Mytilus edulis: one gene and its partner. The protein of the gene in region 1 purifies or fractionates together with the protein of each later gene. This does not show direct contact. Links are inferred from orthologs where the notes say so. Each region holds a gene or a part of one and is shown on either strand. Other genes may lie near its edges.

Region 1 (8,544 bases):
CACTCAAGCCTGATGAAACCATCCCAAAAGACAGAACTAATCTCATATTCAATCTGGAATGTAAATTAATCAATTTGAACATAAAATGCTACCCCAGGAATAAATCACTAGCTTTATTTGTAAAATCTCAGAATTATGGGTCAACAATGCCCTTCATCTTATTACTTTTTTTTGTTTTTTTTTTAATTTTTGTAAATATATTCAAACTTCATGTGTCAATGTATTTTCTTGTATTTTTTCTTTTTTACATTCATGAATTGTTTGTACAGACATGAGGAGTATGTATTTCAGTGTTAGTCTTTGGCAAGACAGCTCTTAAATCATAAAATATAGAAAACCAGCACTATTGGCTATTGCTTAGAAACTTTACTGTCATACTCATACATTTATAAGGCTGATTCTGCATACATCAATGATCAAAATATGGTGTGTCTTCCTCCAATTTAAGATTCTTCTTACCACTTGTTTTATTTTTAGAGGTGTTAACATAATACAATTAATACACAATAATTTATTATGAGTTATCTCCCTTTAGTTTCTTACCTGTCGCCAATAATTCCACTGATATAGAGTCCCTACAAATATAGTTACCATTTTAAATTATAAAAAAAAAAGAAACATACTTGACATTAAAATTTATCAGCAAACAACTAAAATTTTACACATTAAGAATGAAGATATAAAAGTCTAATTAAGAAAATAAAAAAAAATGTTGATTTCAATATAGTATCATTATCACGCTTGTCAATGTTATAACTTCTTTCCTTGAAAATCAGTTAATCTTTAAAAAAAAACACTTTCTGACAAAAATAATATAGTCTTAACTTAAGTAAAGGCATACCACGGCATAAGATATAAGAAAGGCCCCATCTAACATTCCAAGGAATGGTTCAGCATCTTTAGGATTGTCAAACATTGTGTGAGAATTCCATATCTGTCAAATTATAAAAGTATTAAAACATTAAAAATGTGTGTTGGTTACAGCCAATGATTCTTAAACTGATTACATTTTAGTAACAGCATCAGTTAATATACAATTGAATGCCATTCTAAAGGAATGTATTGGTGTAAAAACATGACCAAGTCACGCACAAGCAAATTCAAGACCACAGGACTTTTATGATATGTTTGTGAGTGACTGGTCCAGTTTATACACCAATAAAATTCCTTTAAAAAGGTGTATTATCCTTATAATTATTTAAAATTGGATTTAAGAAATCTATTTTTCACACCTGTAACCTCTAATACATGTTAATTGTATATTCATGTCATTGAATTGGCTTGGCGCATGAACATATTATTTACTAAATAAACTAGAATAATATCTCATAATCATTCAAATAAATGTTTTGGTAATAATTTTTTAATGGAATAACGAATGAAAGTTAAAATAAATTAAAAAAATTACGCTGAGCTTATTTGTGTTATCATCGCTGCCATCTTGATTAAATTGGTTACATAAAGGCATTCCATCAACTTTATCTATCTTTCTATATGGATCTATTGGAAATGGAGTAGCATTGTTTAAATCAGTTTATGAATATGATCAAAGTTTGTGGATAAAGTCAAACTTTACATTTCTATAAAATTCAAAAATTGAACAGGCCAATTCCAAAAAAATTTTTGACAAGAGTTAAAGAAACATGTTTTAAAGAAATGTGCAATTCTATATTATTCTTACCACTATAGATGCATTTGAAATCTCTGGGTTATCTGCTAAATGTTTTACACATATATTACCTTGTCTGGTTGTGTCTTGTTAACAGTAGAGTTATGAAAGGAAGGTGTCCACTCTGCCGAAATAGTAGTTTTGACATTGCTGAAGGTCTTTCTTGTTGCATGGAAAAAGGCATAACTAACAAAAGATAAATGTTTGAATTGTTACTTAAGTTAATAATTTATGTGATTTAGTAACAAACAGTTATTAAGAAGGACTGGTATTGAGTTTTGTAGTCTATATTTGTAATTTTCTCATGTGATTGCTTGTCAATCAGACATACAGATTTGACAAATTAAAAGATCATTTGAAAAGATATGATATATTAATTCATGACAAAAAAATCACTATACACATATTCAGATATTAAATGGACAATCCAAACAATGAACATAGTACACAGTGTATAATTGGAAATATTGCAAAAACTCTCATCATACTACATATAAATGTACATGTATTTTTAGACAACTCAAAGTTCAAAGTTCTTTATTTTCCAATTAAGGGCCCCTGACGGGACATAATGACAACAATACACAATACATTCTGATTCTTAACACATAAACATATAATGAAGATAAAATTAAAATTTTGATTCACATGAAGAGAATATCATAGAATATATATATCATATAAAATGTCACATCATAAAACAATTGTTATTGTTATTATTTATAAGTTATTTAAGTTGTCTCAAAGTTTCATATGTGATTTTTTTTTAAATTGTTTTTCTGCCATGCCAGAGGGCCAGCAAAAATAGTTTAATAATTTATTGATTCACCATACTAAATTGAGAATGGAAATAGTTTGCTAACAGAGGTCCACCTCGTCTCTTATCCATAAAAATAAGTTGAAGGAATAAAAACAACTCAGCAACAGAGGCCCCTTCAAGAAAAGCAAGAACTATCAATATATTTTAAAAAGTATTTGAACATCCACAAAATTTAAGTCAAATTGGGACCTCATTAATGAGGTTCCAAAGGTAGTTATTTCAGCACCAGTGTTTAGTATTGTGACAAGTTTTGTAACTAAACCTTGAACATGTTGAAGACTCTGTTTTTCTTCATATTTTTAAAGATTATTTCGCTTGTGGTGTCAAAGAATATGTCACTTTTAAATAACAGTAGTTTCAATGGAAAGGTTTGTTATAAACAGTGCCATAATATATAATCCTACTGGAATTTATATTATCAACTAGACAAGAATTGTCTATTTCAAAACAACATGTCTGTACAATTCCAATAATTGCTCCATCCATTGTGTTTAATGTTCTTTGATTACGACAGTTGGTTAATTTCCATGAGGACATGTACATCATAACAAGAGAAAACCATTTATAAACAAACCGCATGCCACAACAAAGTTACTGAGAACTGTCAAAAATCACACGCTTACCACAGCGTTATTCAAAAATCCTGGGGAGAACATTGATCGTCATGCACCAAAAAATACCATTAACATCATTTGGCAAGTATTTTAGCTTCGGTATTTTACAGTTATTCGTCATGTAGGTACCCCCGTTACCACCCTCTTGAAGCTGGTACATGTATTTTTATAGTGTCTCCAGATGAAATTATCAGTCATATTTTCAGATGTAATCAAGTCACAGCACAATTCCTGGGTTATGTTAATGATTAGCAACAGTAACAGGTTGTACATAAGATCTGACATATAAATAAATAAATGTTACCTAAAAAATGTTAGTAAGAAAACAACCACATGGTGTGATGTAAATTGAGAGGTTTCACTCTTCATCTTGAGTTTTTCTCAATTTGTAATCATTTCAATAATCAATGTTCAATACATTGTGATTACATTTACACTTTTTAAACTGTAAACAGTAAATGTTACACTTGACACATCTCTGCGATCATGGGACAAAATATAGTCAATGTCAAATCAGATCCCATTTCAAGAGTTTTAGAGGTTGTAGTTACTGTTGATGTCAAACGCTCGTCTGATGCCGAGCACCTGTCATTCAACCGGAAGTTTATATTTCAAAGGGACAACAACAAAAAAAGAAAACAGTTGCACATGGGCAAAACAATATAACATATATACCTAATGGAGAGATCAGATAAAATCAAATTAGAAAAGTTGCTCGGGGAGGGATCGTTCGGAATTGTATATCAAATAACAGATATTGAAACAAACAAAAAAGTATGAATCATTATAATTTGGAGTGAGCTGCAACAGTTGGCACATAATTTCTGAACAGCTGCCAACTGAGCTAAACAAAATCATCTGTCAAACATTTCATCCCCAAAAGGCCAGTCACGGGATACGTTTTTTCTGTCATATGACTTTCATCACCATGGCTGAGTTCGGTTTGCTGAGTTCACTTGAAACTCTCGAGTTAACTTGACTAACTCGGGTTTCAACAAAACGATTTTACTTGAACCACTCAAGTTAACCCCTCATACCCTGGTTCCAACCCTCACCGAGCCAGGGTTAAACTCGAGAATGATGTCAAACCAATGAGAATATTTTATTTTTTATGCTTGGTCAGGGCCTTGCCCTAGAGTTATTTAGAGTTGTTCCGAATATCAACTCTTGTGCGTTCACGTGAAAATCTATTAACTCTGAAGTCGATTGTAGAGTTTCAAGTGAACTCGCCCAATGTGACAAAAATGTATGCATAAAAATTTCCAAAGTAAAGTGCTCCAACACATGTTGAGCAAACGGGTGTCAATGTTTTAATTTATACTGCACAAAATATTAGGGAAATTGAAATCTAATAGGATGGTAACCCACCCTCAGTCATATGGCAATCACGGTGATGTACTTACGGAACATTAATTATTTATATACTACCCTACAGAATGACAATTATGAAAGTGTAGGAAACTTTTAATAGAGCAGTGATACAGGCGCGCCGTCTATCTGGTAAATGACGTCATGAAGGCGTTCGAAAAAGACGATCTTTTCCAGTGAAAGACATGATTCTAGAAATGACCTATAGTACAGTGTTTATGTCTCTTCTTTTCACAATGCTCCCAAAATTCTTCTAACAAATGAGGTAAAGTGCTTTCATATTTGTTCACACATCCTGATCCTAAGCTAAGGTCAATATTTAGTTTGACACAACTGGTCTCATTGTGCTATCTTGTTTCTACTTGAAACTGTAGTTTCCCTGGGTAATGTTACTTTGTAAACTTAGGTTAAATCGTTTAGGCACTTGATCAGAATTCTTCAGGGTATTGGTACATGTAGTACTTCATTTGCCACAGCGACTAACCTGGGTTAGCGCAGTTGGTACTTTTGGTATAGGCACAGTTGCTTCATTTGCTTTGAAATCAGCGGCCACCGCATACAGGCATGCGCCGCCCTCGTCAGCCTTGACACACTGCTAAGCAATCAGCCAGTCAAACAAGTATGGCGGAAAGTGCAATTTATGGTAAAATAACGGAATTTAAAGATGAAAATTGTAACATGTTTTAATCGGACCATATCATAATGTTATACTGCAATGGTCCTCTGTGACAATAATAAATTGTTGCCATATTTTAATTTCAAATTGTTCTCTCATATGTCTCTTTCTTCGCTAGTGCTAGTAGGGTCTGGAGATCTTTTGGGATGTTATGACCCAAGCTGTCTTTTCATTTCTTTTCATTCCTGTTGGTATCTTGTACAGTCAATCTCATTAATGAGATTGTTGTACAGTTAAGCAAAAATTTAAAGTGTTCTGTGCTTTCTTCATCCCCACATTCTCAGTATGGTGTGATGGAGTGGCCTATCTGATGGCGGTATTTTATTTAGTCTATTGTAGCCTGTTCTTTAGTCAGGCATGATTCTCCCTATAACTGGGTTCGGATAAATCAAACTTGTCAAAAAGCCATACAAAAAGTCATTATTATTTGGACTAATTCAAAGAATTGTTACAATGCCAGTTTAAATTATTTGTGCCTTCATGATCAATTGCTAGAAAAGATCATTTGCAATTCATCATGTTCATAGGTTGATAATACTACATGTACAGTTTACACAAAGAGGAATGCATGAGTCCTGGACTCATTTTAAAAACCTTCTCACTTATCATTATTTTCTAAATAAGTGAGTCCCAAAGTGCATCAAGAGTACCAGCTCAGTCCAGTTATTATTATTTCATCCTTTGTCCACAGCAAAAGTTAAAAGATAAACCTATTAAAATTTGATTTCATTTCCTTGCTTTATTTTGTCATGAAGACTTTTAAATTTTTTATGAATATGTTGTTACGTGATTGGAATCTGAATGTCCAAAAACAATAAGTAACTGGACTCACCTATGAAAATTCTTTCTGAGAACTCTGCGATAACATTGATAATGGTAATTGCCTATTGTTAAATGCTGTATGTTGACCCCTAATTATGTTTTTGGATTGCTGTCTGATTGATGCTTTAGCAACAACTTGCTTTATATATATATTTATATGCATTTGATTGTAGTTTGCCCTCAAAAGAATAGACTTCGGTGATCAAGAATCAGAACGGGAACAAGCTAAAAGAGAAGCAGATTTGTTATCCAACCTTCGCCATGATAATATCTTACAGTATGTTGAATCATTTGAAGAGGATGATAGCTTGTTTATCGTGACAGAATACTGTGAACGTGGTGATCTTGAGACTTACTTGGAATACAAGTCACAAATACAGGAACAGTTACCAGAAAATAAGATAGCAATATGGATCTATCAGATAGCAAGTGGTTTACATGTAAGTTAACATTTACCAAAAAAACATCAATATCACATGTATAACTTTACAGTTCAGACACATACCTACATGATGTACATGTAGGTATGTGTCTGTAGTAACATGTACATTACAAATCAATCATTTTCATGCACTGATTTTGTAAAACAATGTTCAAACCGAAATTAAGCCCTAAGTACATCCCATTCTTTACCAGTTAATTAATGTAGGTTTTCCTTTACCAGTGAATCAAATTCCTCAACAACAAAAAGTTTCATAGTAAACTTACTAAATTTTCATTTACAACAAACATTTTCCCAGTGCCTAGGCATACTGAGGACTATTGTACTAGTAAATATAATAGTCCCAGATACATGTTTATCGGTAATTCATATATTTTCCCATTGATCTTACTGTCTAATATTTTCGAGTATCAACGTACTGGCTGTATCACTGAAAATATTAGGCAATACATTGTGTGACGACATAATTACCGATAAACAGAATAACAGGCTCGTCTAGATATACCACATGATATAGTCAGTATCAAAAACGAAACTACCTATTATTCTATATATATTCTTATGTCTTAATCAATATTTGTGAAATATTTTTAGCATGTGTCATTGTGTTGACAAGAATTAAAACATATATATGTTATTTATTTATCTCTTCTGAAAGGTAAAAGTTTTGATGTTCATGCTGTTGTGAAGCCTCATTTTGTAACATACTCGCACAATACAAATTTATAATTTATACAATGTTTGTTTTTAGTATTTACATGAAAGAAAGATATTACACAGAGATTTGAAGACAAAGAACATTTTTATTATGACTGACTGGAATGTTAGAATTGGTGATTTAGGTATAGCAAAGTAAGTTATATTGATAGTAGGATGGAAACTTATACGTTGACCTCTTTGCAATATGAAGGAGATAACATCCTTTAATATTATATTAATCACAATGAAAGTAAAGGAAGTGGCTATAAATGCTGTTCATTTATTTTGATGAATACTGTACGTACATATATGTATATCTTCTGTGAACTGAAAAATATGATACTCTGCATTACATTTCAGATTTAATAATTATTGTTAGCCTTGATCTGTATTACTTCACTGAATTGAAAAATATGTTTCCCTGCATTAAAATTTAAGTTAAGGTGGTACCTAACACCTGAACTAAAATTAATTTGACTCGTTTAATTTTCTTTAAATTTTGACAAAGTATTTAGTTTGACCCTTTGACAAAAATATAAAAATTTCAAAAACTTTGAACCAACTGTTTAATCAGAAAAATTACACTGGTTATATAGCAGTTTGACAAAAACTTATTTTGATCATTGAGAAGCTTAATATTCCCTTAACAACACAACATCATTAAAACGTTCTGCTGATTTTACAGAGTTATCTCCCTGTAGTGTTAGGTACCACCTTAAAAAATGTATTTGATGAGTTATATTTTTTTTAATTTTGAATGTTTTAATTTACTGTACATTTGAAAATGATATGAAAATAAATGTTTCAAGCACTGTTTCACAGATGTTTAAAGATTTGATTTATAATTAAAGATAAAATATTTTCTAGAGTGTTGGATCTTGGTCAGAGTAAAGCTAACAGTTTTGTGGGGACTCCTGCCTATATGTGTCCTGAATTGTTTGAACAAAAAGCTTATAATAATCGTGTAAGTATAAAATGGTACTTGTACAAAGAATCACTGAATGTGCAAATTGAATGTATATATTACATTTTGACTGATATAAAATTGGGATTGAACAAAAAAGCCGATGTTGTTATTACATTTGTACCTTAAGAAAAATGTGACAGGGTCAAACAAATTGACCCTCCTCATGCACCAAGTTGCAAATTGGAAATTGGATGATTTTGTCTCAGCAACCTTTTATGGTACAAAACATAACATAATCTTCATTTTATAGTTAGTAAAAGCTCATGCTATATAAAGTGATGTATCAGATAAAAAAAAAAAAGATTTGCAGTGTATGATGTAGGAAATTCAACTTAATTTGAATATTTTGATTTTTTTCAGTCAGACATTTGGAGCTTAGGGTGCTGTGTATTTGAAATGATGGCACTGAAGAAAGCATTTGAAGGAAAAGCTATATTTAAAATCATCCATAATGTGATATCAGGGAA
Region 2 (9,218 bases), about 100 Mb from region 1:
ATCATATATAAGAATAAGGTCTTCCTTTATGTTCTCCCAGTTTGCTTTTTTGTATATTAGTGCTTTATGTGGTTGTTGTTTTGGTGTTGTATAGCAAAGTTGATTTCACAAAAGACAATATCATGGTCGCTTCCTCCTATTGGTGGGAGGGTCTCAACTCTGTTGATAAATGATGGGTTTGTCATGCACATTAGATCTAAAGTTCTGTCATTTCTGGTGTTTTTGTCAATTACTTAGTTAAGTTAAGTCCAAATAATTATGATGTCTGGCAAGGCTATTTTAATTTTTTTTCTGGGACGCCTTCCTAAAAAAAAAAAAAATAGCCGTCCCAGACGTCATAATTATTTGGACTAATGTTGATGCACCTAGTGCTAGAGATTATAGCCAATAAAAATGGCAATATAATTAGAAAATGCCATCCTGCCCTAATTTGCTTTAAATCTAGTGCAAACACAAATACCCCTCTATAGAGGGATAATTTTATCCCTCTAAAGAAGGTTTATCCCTTTATACAGGTATAATCACCATCCAGGGGGTTTGTTCCCAACCTGTTCGTTTGATGACAATGATGTATTCCCGACATTAACTGGAACTCAACATCTATTCAAGGAAATAAAGTAAACTCTGGTATCAACAAAAGACTCCTAGACATGATCCACAACTGTCATATGGAGCAAACAGTCACTTTTCCCACCCGTCTGGACAACACACTGGACTTGTTTCTTACTAACCGGCCAAGCCTAATCAACAGATGCTCTCCTTTACCCGGTATATCAGATCATGATGCAGTCTTTATTGAATCATCAGCAGCTGCAAAACGAGGGAAACCGGTAAAACGGAAAATACACCTATGGAAAAGAGCAGATAATGAAAAACTGAAAAAAGAATGTCTAGAATTCCAACAACAATTCCTAGACAAATACACTATTCAGTCATCTATAGCAGAGATGTGGCTAGACATCAGCACCGCACTAACTAACATCCTAGATTCATCAGTACCATCAAAGATGACCACCAGCCGCTTTAGTCAACCCTGGATCACAAAAGAGATAAAAGCACTATCACGGCGTAAGAAAAGATGCTTTAATAGGGTCAAATCATCAAACAGATCAAGGGATAAGAAAAAGTATCAACATCTAAAATCTGCAACAAAAACAGCATGCAAAAAGGCCTACAATGATTATCTAACCAACATAATCTCACCAGATTGCACTTCAAACCCAAAACGCTTCTGGAGTTTTATTAACAGTAAAAACAAGGACAGCAGTGGAGTGGCACCTCTTAAAGCAACAGATGGCCTTACATATTCAGAACCAACGGCAAAAGCGAACATCCTGAACAACCAATTTTCATCGGTATTTAATTCCAACGAACCAGAAGACAACATCAAACCAATGGGTAAACAGAAGTTCCCGAATATGTTTAACATTAACATCACAGAACCAGGAGTATTAAAACTACTACAAGGCCTTAAAATCCACAAAGCTACTGGGCCAGATGGATTGTCAGCTAGACTGTTGAAGTTCGTAGGCTCTGAAATAGCACCAGTCTTCACAGTCTTTTTCCAGGCATCCATTAACCAAGGAGCGATCCCAAAGGAATGGAAGAAGGCAGACGTAGTTCCTATATTTAAGAAAGGTGCTAAAAACCGCCCTGAAAACTACAGACCTGTCTCGCTCACATCCATCACCTGTAAAATGCTGGAGCATATAATCACGAGCAGCATAATGAAACACCTAGAGAAACACACCATACTAACAGACGCACAGCATGGCTTCCGTAAACACAGATCCTGTGAATCTCAACTTATAATCACTATCCAGGATCTAGCCAAAACAGTCGATAACACCGGACAAACAGATGTCATCCTCCTGGACTTCTCCAAGGCTTTCGACAAGGTTCCTCATAAGCGACTTATGCATAAGCTACATCACTACGGAATACGGGGTAATCTCCATAGCTGGATTGAAGACTTTCTCAACGAAAGAACATAACATGTCGTCCTCGAAAACGGTAAATCCAATACTGCACCTGTCCAATCAGGAGTTCCTCAGGGCAGTGTCCTTGGACCCATCCTTTTTCTACTTTACATTAACGACCTACCAGATTACACAGTCAACAAATCATCAGTTAGACTCTTTGCCAATGACTGCGTATTGTACAGGGAAATAAAAAACACCAAAGATGCAGAACTACTTCAACAAGATCTGGAAACCCTACAAGAATGGGAGAATGATTGGCTCATGGAATTTCATCCCAAAAAGTGCCAAGTCATTCACATTACCAACAAGAGGAAACCAATCAGACAGCCATATATCATCCATGGTCACGTCTTAGAGGAAGTAGAATGTGCAAAATATCTGGGGGCCAACATCCACCACAAACTAAACTGGACTACTCACATAGACCAAGTAGTAAGAAAAGCCAACAACACCAGGGCTTTTCTACAGAGAAATATATCACAATGCCCACGAAAGACCAAGGAACTCTGCTACAAGACCCTTGTGAGACCACAGATGGAGTATGCAAGCATCATTTGGGATCCACACACAGCAAACAACATCCACAACCTGGAAATGGTACAACGTAGGGCAGCAAGATTTGTTACTGGTGACTACCACCGAACCACTAGTGTAACAAACCTATTACACCAGCTGCAATGGCCAACCCTACAAGAGCGTAGAGCAACGAATAAAGTTATAATGATGTACCGCATAGTTAACCACTTGGTTGCAATACCAACATCCTGCTTAATCCCAACAGCAGCAACATTAAGAGGACACAACCAACGATTCCTTGTTCCATTCGCAAGAACGCAGCTTTACCAGTACTCGTTCTTCCCAGACGCCATCAGATTATGGAACAGTCTACCACCAACTACTGTAGCCTGCAACTCAATTGACACATTCAAGTGTGAGTTGCAGAAGACCAAGATGTATTAAGGACTGTGCGAAATTTTTAACTGTACATACTATTTTTTAACTGCACTGTAAATATTGGTTTGTCTGCACCACGCATCAGTTCGATAATACACCAGATGGTGGTATGAACTGTATATGGAAGAAGAAGAAGAAGAAGAAGATGTGTTTTGTCATTTGATTTTGCCATTTGATTAGGGACTTTCCGGTTGAATTTTCCTTGGAGTTCATGATGTTATGGGAATTATTGAAACTATATTCCTAATATTCATCGTTACCTTTTCACTCTCAAACAACGGTAATATCATACATGTGATTATTATGTAGACCAACATCGTTCAATGTTGATTTTCTTCCTGGTGAGAAGGGAAATAACTCTATTTTAGTAATATGACCTAAAACCAACATAACCTATAAAAAAATGTGTACAGTAACGTATTTTATTTACTTTCGGTTGAGGAGAAATGAAGGGTGTTCGCTAGTGAATCATAACAACCTTTTAGAACATAAATTTGAATAGATTTTTTTTAATTAATGAGCAATGAAAGTGTTTTAAAAATAAATGTCTGCATTTTTAAATGTCACGACTCCCTGTTTGCCATGATAAAGCTACAAGTTGACAATGACTCCAGTTCTTGTATATTTTCCGTTTTCGTTTTTTACCTGTGTTTGAGACTTTTTAGCATCTTAATTTTAATTTCATGTCTGTGTTTGTTCTTTTCTTTTTTTTATATATAAAAACAAAAGAAAAAGAGGCATGACTGCCAATGAGACAACTCTCTACAATAAACAAAATGACATCGAAAAAAACAACTATAAGTCAACGTACGGACTTCAACAATGAGTCAAAGTCCATACCGAATAGTCAGCTATAAAAGACCCTGAAATGACAAATGTATAACAATTCAAACGAGAAAACAAACGACCTAATTATTGTCCAAAAAAAAAAAAATCTGTTTTGGTTTTTGGTCGTGCTTATTTTTATTTTGATGCCTTTTTCATTTATGTCTGTTTCTTTCTTCGTACCTATTTTCGTTTTTGTACACTGTTGTCCATTTTTGTTTTTGACCTTTTTTTTTAATATGTTTGTTTCATTTTTCTTTTTAACGTGTGCTTTTTAATTTTATGTCTGCTTCCTTTTTATGTTAGTAATATTAAATTTACACTTTTTTTAGTTTTATGTCTGTTTTCGTTCTTTTGAGTTAATTTTCAGATTTTTCTCTGTTGTCTGGGTTTTTTTCAATGGTATGTGCGTTTTCGTTTTTGACAAATGTTTTCCTGTTTTATGTTTGTTCTTGTTTTTGATGTCTGTGGGGTTTTCTTTAACTTCTGGTTATTAATTTTGTGTTTTTCACTCCTTTTATAGATTTTGTGTCTATTTCCGTTTTTGTCCTCTGTTGTATGGTTTTTATAAATGGTATGTCTGTTTTTTATTTTGACATCTGTAATTAAATAAAAAAAATCGTCTTGGATTATTTTTTTTTTTCTATTTTTTTTCTGTTTGAACTTTAACGTCTGGTTTTAAATTTAATGTCATTTTTTTTCGTCTTTTTTTTTTATTCATCAATGTTCAAGTCTGTTCCGTTATTCAAGTGTTTTATTTACTTTTTTTAACTGTTTTTTTGAAATTATATGTCGGTTTTTGTTTTGGATCTCTGCTTTTGATTTGTTAACATCTGTTGTTGGTTTTTTTTACGTCTGTTTTGGTGTCTGGTTTTCGTATTTATTCTCTGATTTTGATTTTAGCGTCCGAAATGTTTTTGCTTTTTTGACACAGCATTGCCAGTAGTTTTTTACAAATACATTTGAATATCCCTTTGGTAATGTTCTCTCTTTTGCAAAAGGAATGTTCCCTCACTTTCCTCATTGTTAATATCAATTTTCCCTTACAACACCCTTTTTGCATGGATGAAAACAAATATTGTGGTTAAACAGGTGACAACAAAATGTCTTAATAATTATCTGCCCTAAACCTTGTAGTGTTAAATTTTGAGAAAAAAAAAATGTAGATTGATCACCTTGAAAAACTAAAAAAAGAATGCTTTGCACGGAAAAATATTTGACTTAATAGACAAAAAACATAATACCCCACTTTTAAAGTTAAATGATTTCTCCCTTGTATCTATACAAACATACGATGCATCAAGTATTATGATTGTTGGCAACCTTTTATACCAACTGACAAGTGGTGTTGGGTTTTCTTAAATTTCTATCGAAACAAAAAGAGAATTGAATCTGAAGCTATAACATGAACATGAGATCGTCATGTAAAATGGTTAGACATGCATAATCTTTAAAAGTCCATTCGACAGTAAGGATGGGAAGATGATGTAAAGGCAACATGCCACAAAGAAATCATTTACTTACAATGAATTCACACAAATTATAAGAGAAATTAAGCTTAATTTTTTACGAATTATAATGTGTACAGGCACTTTTTGTACAAATTACAATTTGTACAAAGTCAAAATACAAATTATAATTTGAACAATGTTTTTGTACAAATTATAATTTATCAATCCGATATTTAATCTAACTGGCTTGTTAGCCTGAAGAATAAGCCCAGGCAATCAGATTTCACAATTTAATCTGTTTAATGGTCTTAACATGCATTCCATTTACCATTATCAGGGGTTACGAAATTTTGTATAAGTTCACTAGCCCACGGCTAATTGGTAGCATGATTTTACTAGCCCTGTTGGAAGAACTACTAGCCCAGCAAAACTGACCTACTAGCCCTAGTATGCCTCACAATTTCAGAGTTTGCTGCAATAACAATGAATTATATAAAGTTTAACAATTTTTATCCATTGTACAGTAGATTTGTGCAAATTGGATACCCAAAACTTGGCAAAAACTACTAAGTATCTAATTACTGGCATTAGCAGATATATTGATAATTGAATATTCACTGAATATCCTGTAATAATGAGTTGAACAAATCCCGATTGATGAAACAAGTCTTCACCACCGCTATTCATGGGTTTATAAAGGATTGGAGGGTTTTTACCAGATACATTATCACGTTTGTTTAAAAGAATTATCAGCTGCTTAATTATGAAATGCTCATATTTGTTATCAGTTTATAAAATTCAAGCCACAAATATTTATGTGAATAAGTATCGCCATCAATAGCTTTTATAATTGTTTTATAAACGAAGTACAGTAATGTCCATTTTTACATTTATCACAGGTAAGCTTATTGTGGGCTATAAATAGATTACAACCTGAGCACGGTCTTTTAACTGAACTGAAATTGTATTTGTTAAAAAAAAATATTTCCTTAAAAATCGAATTCATTTGAATATATATCAATAAAGATTATCATGATTGATGAAAATTTATTGCATCAAGTTTAACCTGATGCTTTTTGTTATCTATTAATCATGTGTTTCTTTGTCTAATATGTTCTCCTATTTATTTGTATTGTAGTCCTGTTATATTATGTTGTCATTTCAATGTTATATTGTACATTGCCATTAAAGTGCGAGGTTTGGCATGCCACAAAACCAGGTTCAATCCACCATTTTTTCCTTTAAAAATGTCCTGTAGCAAGTCAGGAAGATGGCCATTGTTATATTATTGTTCGTTTCTGTGTGTGTTACATTTTAACGTTGCGTCGTTTGTTTTCTCTTATTTTTGAGTGTAAATTCACATTGCGATAAGACGTGTCACGGTACTTGTCTATCCCAAATTCATGTATTTGGTTTTGATGTTATATTTGTTATTATCGTGGGATTTTTTCTGATGCTTGGTCCGTTTCTTTGTGTGTTACATTTCAGTGTTGTGTAGTTGTTCTCCTCTTATATTTAATGTGTTTCCCTCGGTTTAAGTTTGTAACCCTGATTTTTTTTTTTATGGAATTATGAGTTTTGAACAGCAGTATACTACTGTTGACTTTATTTAAGTATTCCGAGACTGTTAATGTTCAGATCATGGTTCTGGAGGCTTTTTTACAGTATGTAAACAATAACAAAATGGCGTCCATAGCATGTGCACATGTTTCAAAAGTTATATCTGACAAAATAAAATTGAGAAAGGAAATGGTGAATATGTCAAAGCGACAACCACCCGACCATAGAGCAAACAACAGCCGAAGGCAACCAATGGGTCTTCAATGTAGCGAGAATTCCCGCACCCGTAGGTGTCCTTCAGCTGGCCCCTAAAATATGCATAATAGTACAGTGATAATGGACGTCATACTAAACTCCGAATTATACACAAGAAACTAAAATTTAAAATCATACAAGACTAACAAAGGCCAGAGGCTCCTGACTTGGGACAGGCGCAAAATTGCGGCGGGGTTAAACATGTTTATGAGATCTCAACCCTCCCCCTATACCTCTAGCCAATGTAGAAAAGTAAAAGAATAACAATACGCACATTAAAATTCAGTTCAAGAGAAGTCCGAGTCTGATGTCAAAAGATGTAACAAAAGAAAATAAATAAAATGACAATAATACATAAATAACAACAGACTACTAGCAGTTAACTGACATGCCAGCTCCAGACCTCAATTAAACTGATTGAAAGATTATGTCTTCATCATATGAATATCAGGTACAATCCCTCCCGTTAGGGGTTTAGTATCATACTATCATAAAATATATGAGAAGAACATAACCCGTGTCATGCCAACAACTGTTTTTTTTAGAAATAAATGTGTTTAGTTCCGATGCAAAGACCCTATCAGTGAATCAATGTTAAAGCCAAAATATGCAATCTTTAATGACCTGACAACAGTATCGTAACTATATCCCCTTTTAATAAGTCTATTTAAAGGTTTTGTTAGTTTCTGAGGAGAATACTGACATTTTTGTGCTTTATAAAGAATATTTCCATAAAATTTTGGATGTGAAATACCTGAACGTATAAGATGTCTGCATGTTGAGTTATATTTACGAATTATTTCCTTATACCGGTGATAAAATTTAGTAAATGTTTTGACCAGTTTGTGATATCGAAAACCCTGGTGTAATAATTTTTCAGTAATACATAAATTTCTCTCGCTAAAATCTAATACATTGTTACATACACGAGCGAATCGTACAAGTTGAGATATATAAACACCATAAGATGGTGACAAGGGAACGTCACCATCTAAAAATGGATAATTAACAATAGGAAATGAAAAATCATCTCTTTTATCATAAATTTTTGTATTAAGCTTCCCGTTTATGATATAGATATCAAGATCGAGGAAAGGGCAGTGGTCATTGTTATCATTAGCTTTATTTAAAGTAAGTTCTACAGGATAAATTTCTTTAGTATACATACTGAAGTCGTCATTATTTAGAGCCAATATATCATCCAAATATCTAAAAGTATTGTTAAATTTTTGTATCAAATGTTGTTTTGATGGGTCTTTGCTAATTTTAGTCATAAATTGTAACTCATAACAATACAAAAACAGGTCCGCAATAAGTGGTGCACAGTTAGTCCCCATTGGAATTCCAATAACTTGACGATATACGGAATCTCCAAAGCGAACAAAAATGTTATCAAGTAAAAATTCAAGTGCATAAATAGTATCAAAGCATGTCCAATTGACATAGTTCTTTTGTTTATTGCTACTAAAAAATGATCTAAAAGAGTTTGAACATATGTACTCGCATTCCGACTTTTTAAATGCCCAGTTAATTAGGGATGTGAATTTTTTCTTAATAAGAATATGAGGCAAAGTGGTATATAGGGTAGAAAAATCAAAACTTTGAACAGATTCAAAATCACCAATATATGCATGCAATTTATCAAGTACTTCCAACGAGTTTTTGACACTCCAAAAGTAATTAATTCCACTATTTTCAAAGGCCTTATTTGAACAATTTATTATCAGGTTTTTTATTGTACCAAGTGTACTAGTAAGTAAAACAGACAATTTAGTAGTTGAACAATGGCTGGAAGATGAAATAAATCTATATTTGTAAGGTTTTTTGTGCAGCTTCGGAAGCCAGTACATAGTTGGGACTTTCATTGTGTTTGGTTCTGCTTGTAAAGAAGTAGCTAAAAGTTTATGTTTGTTACAGATGTCGTTTTCTGAAAATGAAGTCAGTTGGAATGTTGGTGAATTCGTGATTTCCTTTTGCAGAACCTCTATATAAAATTTACGTCAAACAATAATGATATTATTAGCAGCTTTATCAGCCGGGACAAAAACAAATTCCTTGGCTAGTTCTGTTAGTTTATTTTTGATACGCGAAATAGGGTTTTTATAGTTTTTGTTGAGGGTAAAATGTTCTTTAAAATGTTGTATTCGAATATCAACTATCTTCATTACTGAATTAAAAAAAGAGTCCAAAG

Evidence for each region.
Region 2: the proteins of sugar phosphate exchanger 3-like (region 1) and all-trans retinoic acid-induced differentiation factor-like purify together in Homo sapiens (affinity purification with mass spectrometry; 3 studies listed by BioGRID and IntAct, counting the BioPlex papers as one, with this or other methods). This does not show direct contact. The link is inferred for Mytilus edulis from reciprocal best matches to the Homo sapiens genes SLC37A3 and ATRAID.

What each region holds. Positions count from the first base shown.
Region 1 is NC_092344.1:15,891,682-15,900,225, reverse strand, and holds the start of sugar phosphate exchanger 3-like, read right to left. Parts: upstream 3,632-8,544; 5' UTR 3,473-3,631; coding exon 3,408-3,472; intron 1,856-3,407; coding exon 1,741-1,855; intron 935-1,740; coding exon 842-934; intron 576-841; coding exon 544-575; intron 54-543; coding exon 2-53; intron 1-1. Other genes in the region: serine/threonine-protein kinase Nek3-like, read left to right, coding at 3,782-3,877, 6,143-6,409, 7,163-7,263, 7,978-8,074, 8,438-8,544. UniProt on the Homo sapiens protein: Unlike the other SLC37 members, lacks glucose-6-phosphate antiporter activity.
Region 2 is NC_092344.1:119,472,844-119,482,061, reverse strand, and holds the start of all-trans retinoic acid-induced differentiation factor-like, read right to left. Parts: upstream 3,324-9,218; 5' UTR 3,254-3,323; coding exon 3,197-3,253; intron 1-3,196. UniProt on the Homo sapiens protein: Promotes osteoblast cell differentiation and terminal mineralization. Plays a role in inducing the cell cycle arrest via inhibiting CCND1 expression in all-trans-retinoic acid (ATRA) signal pathway.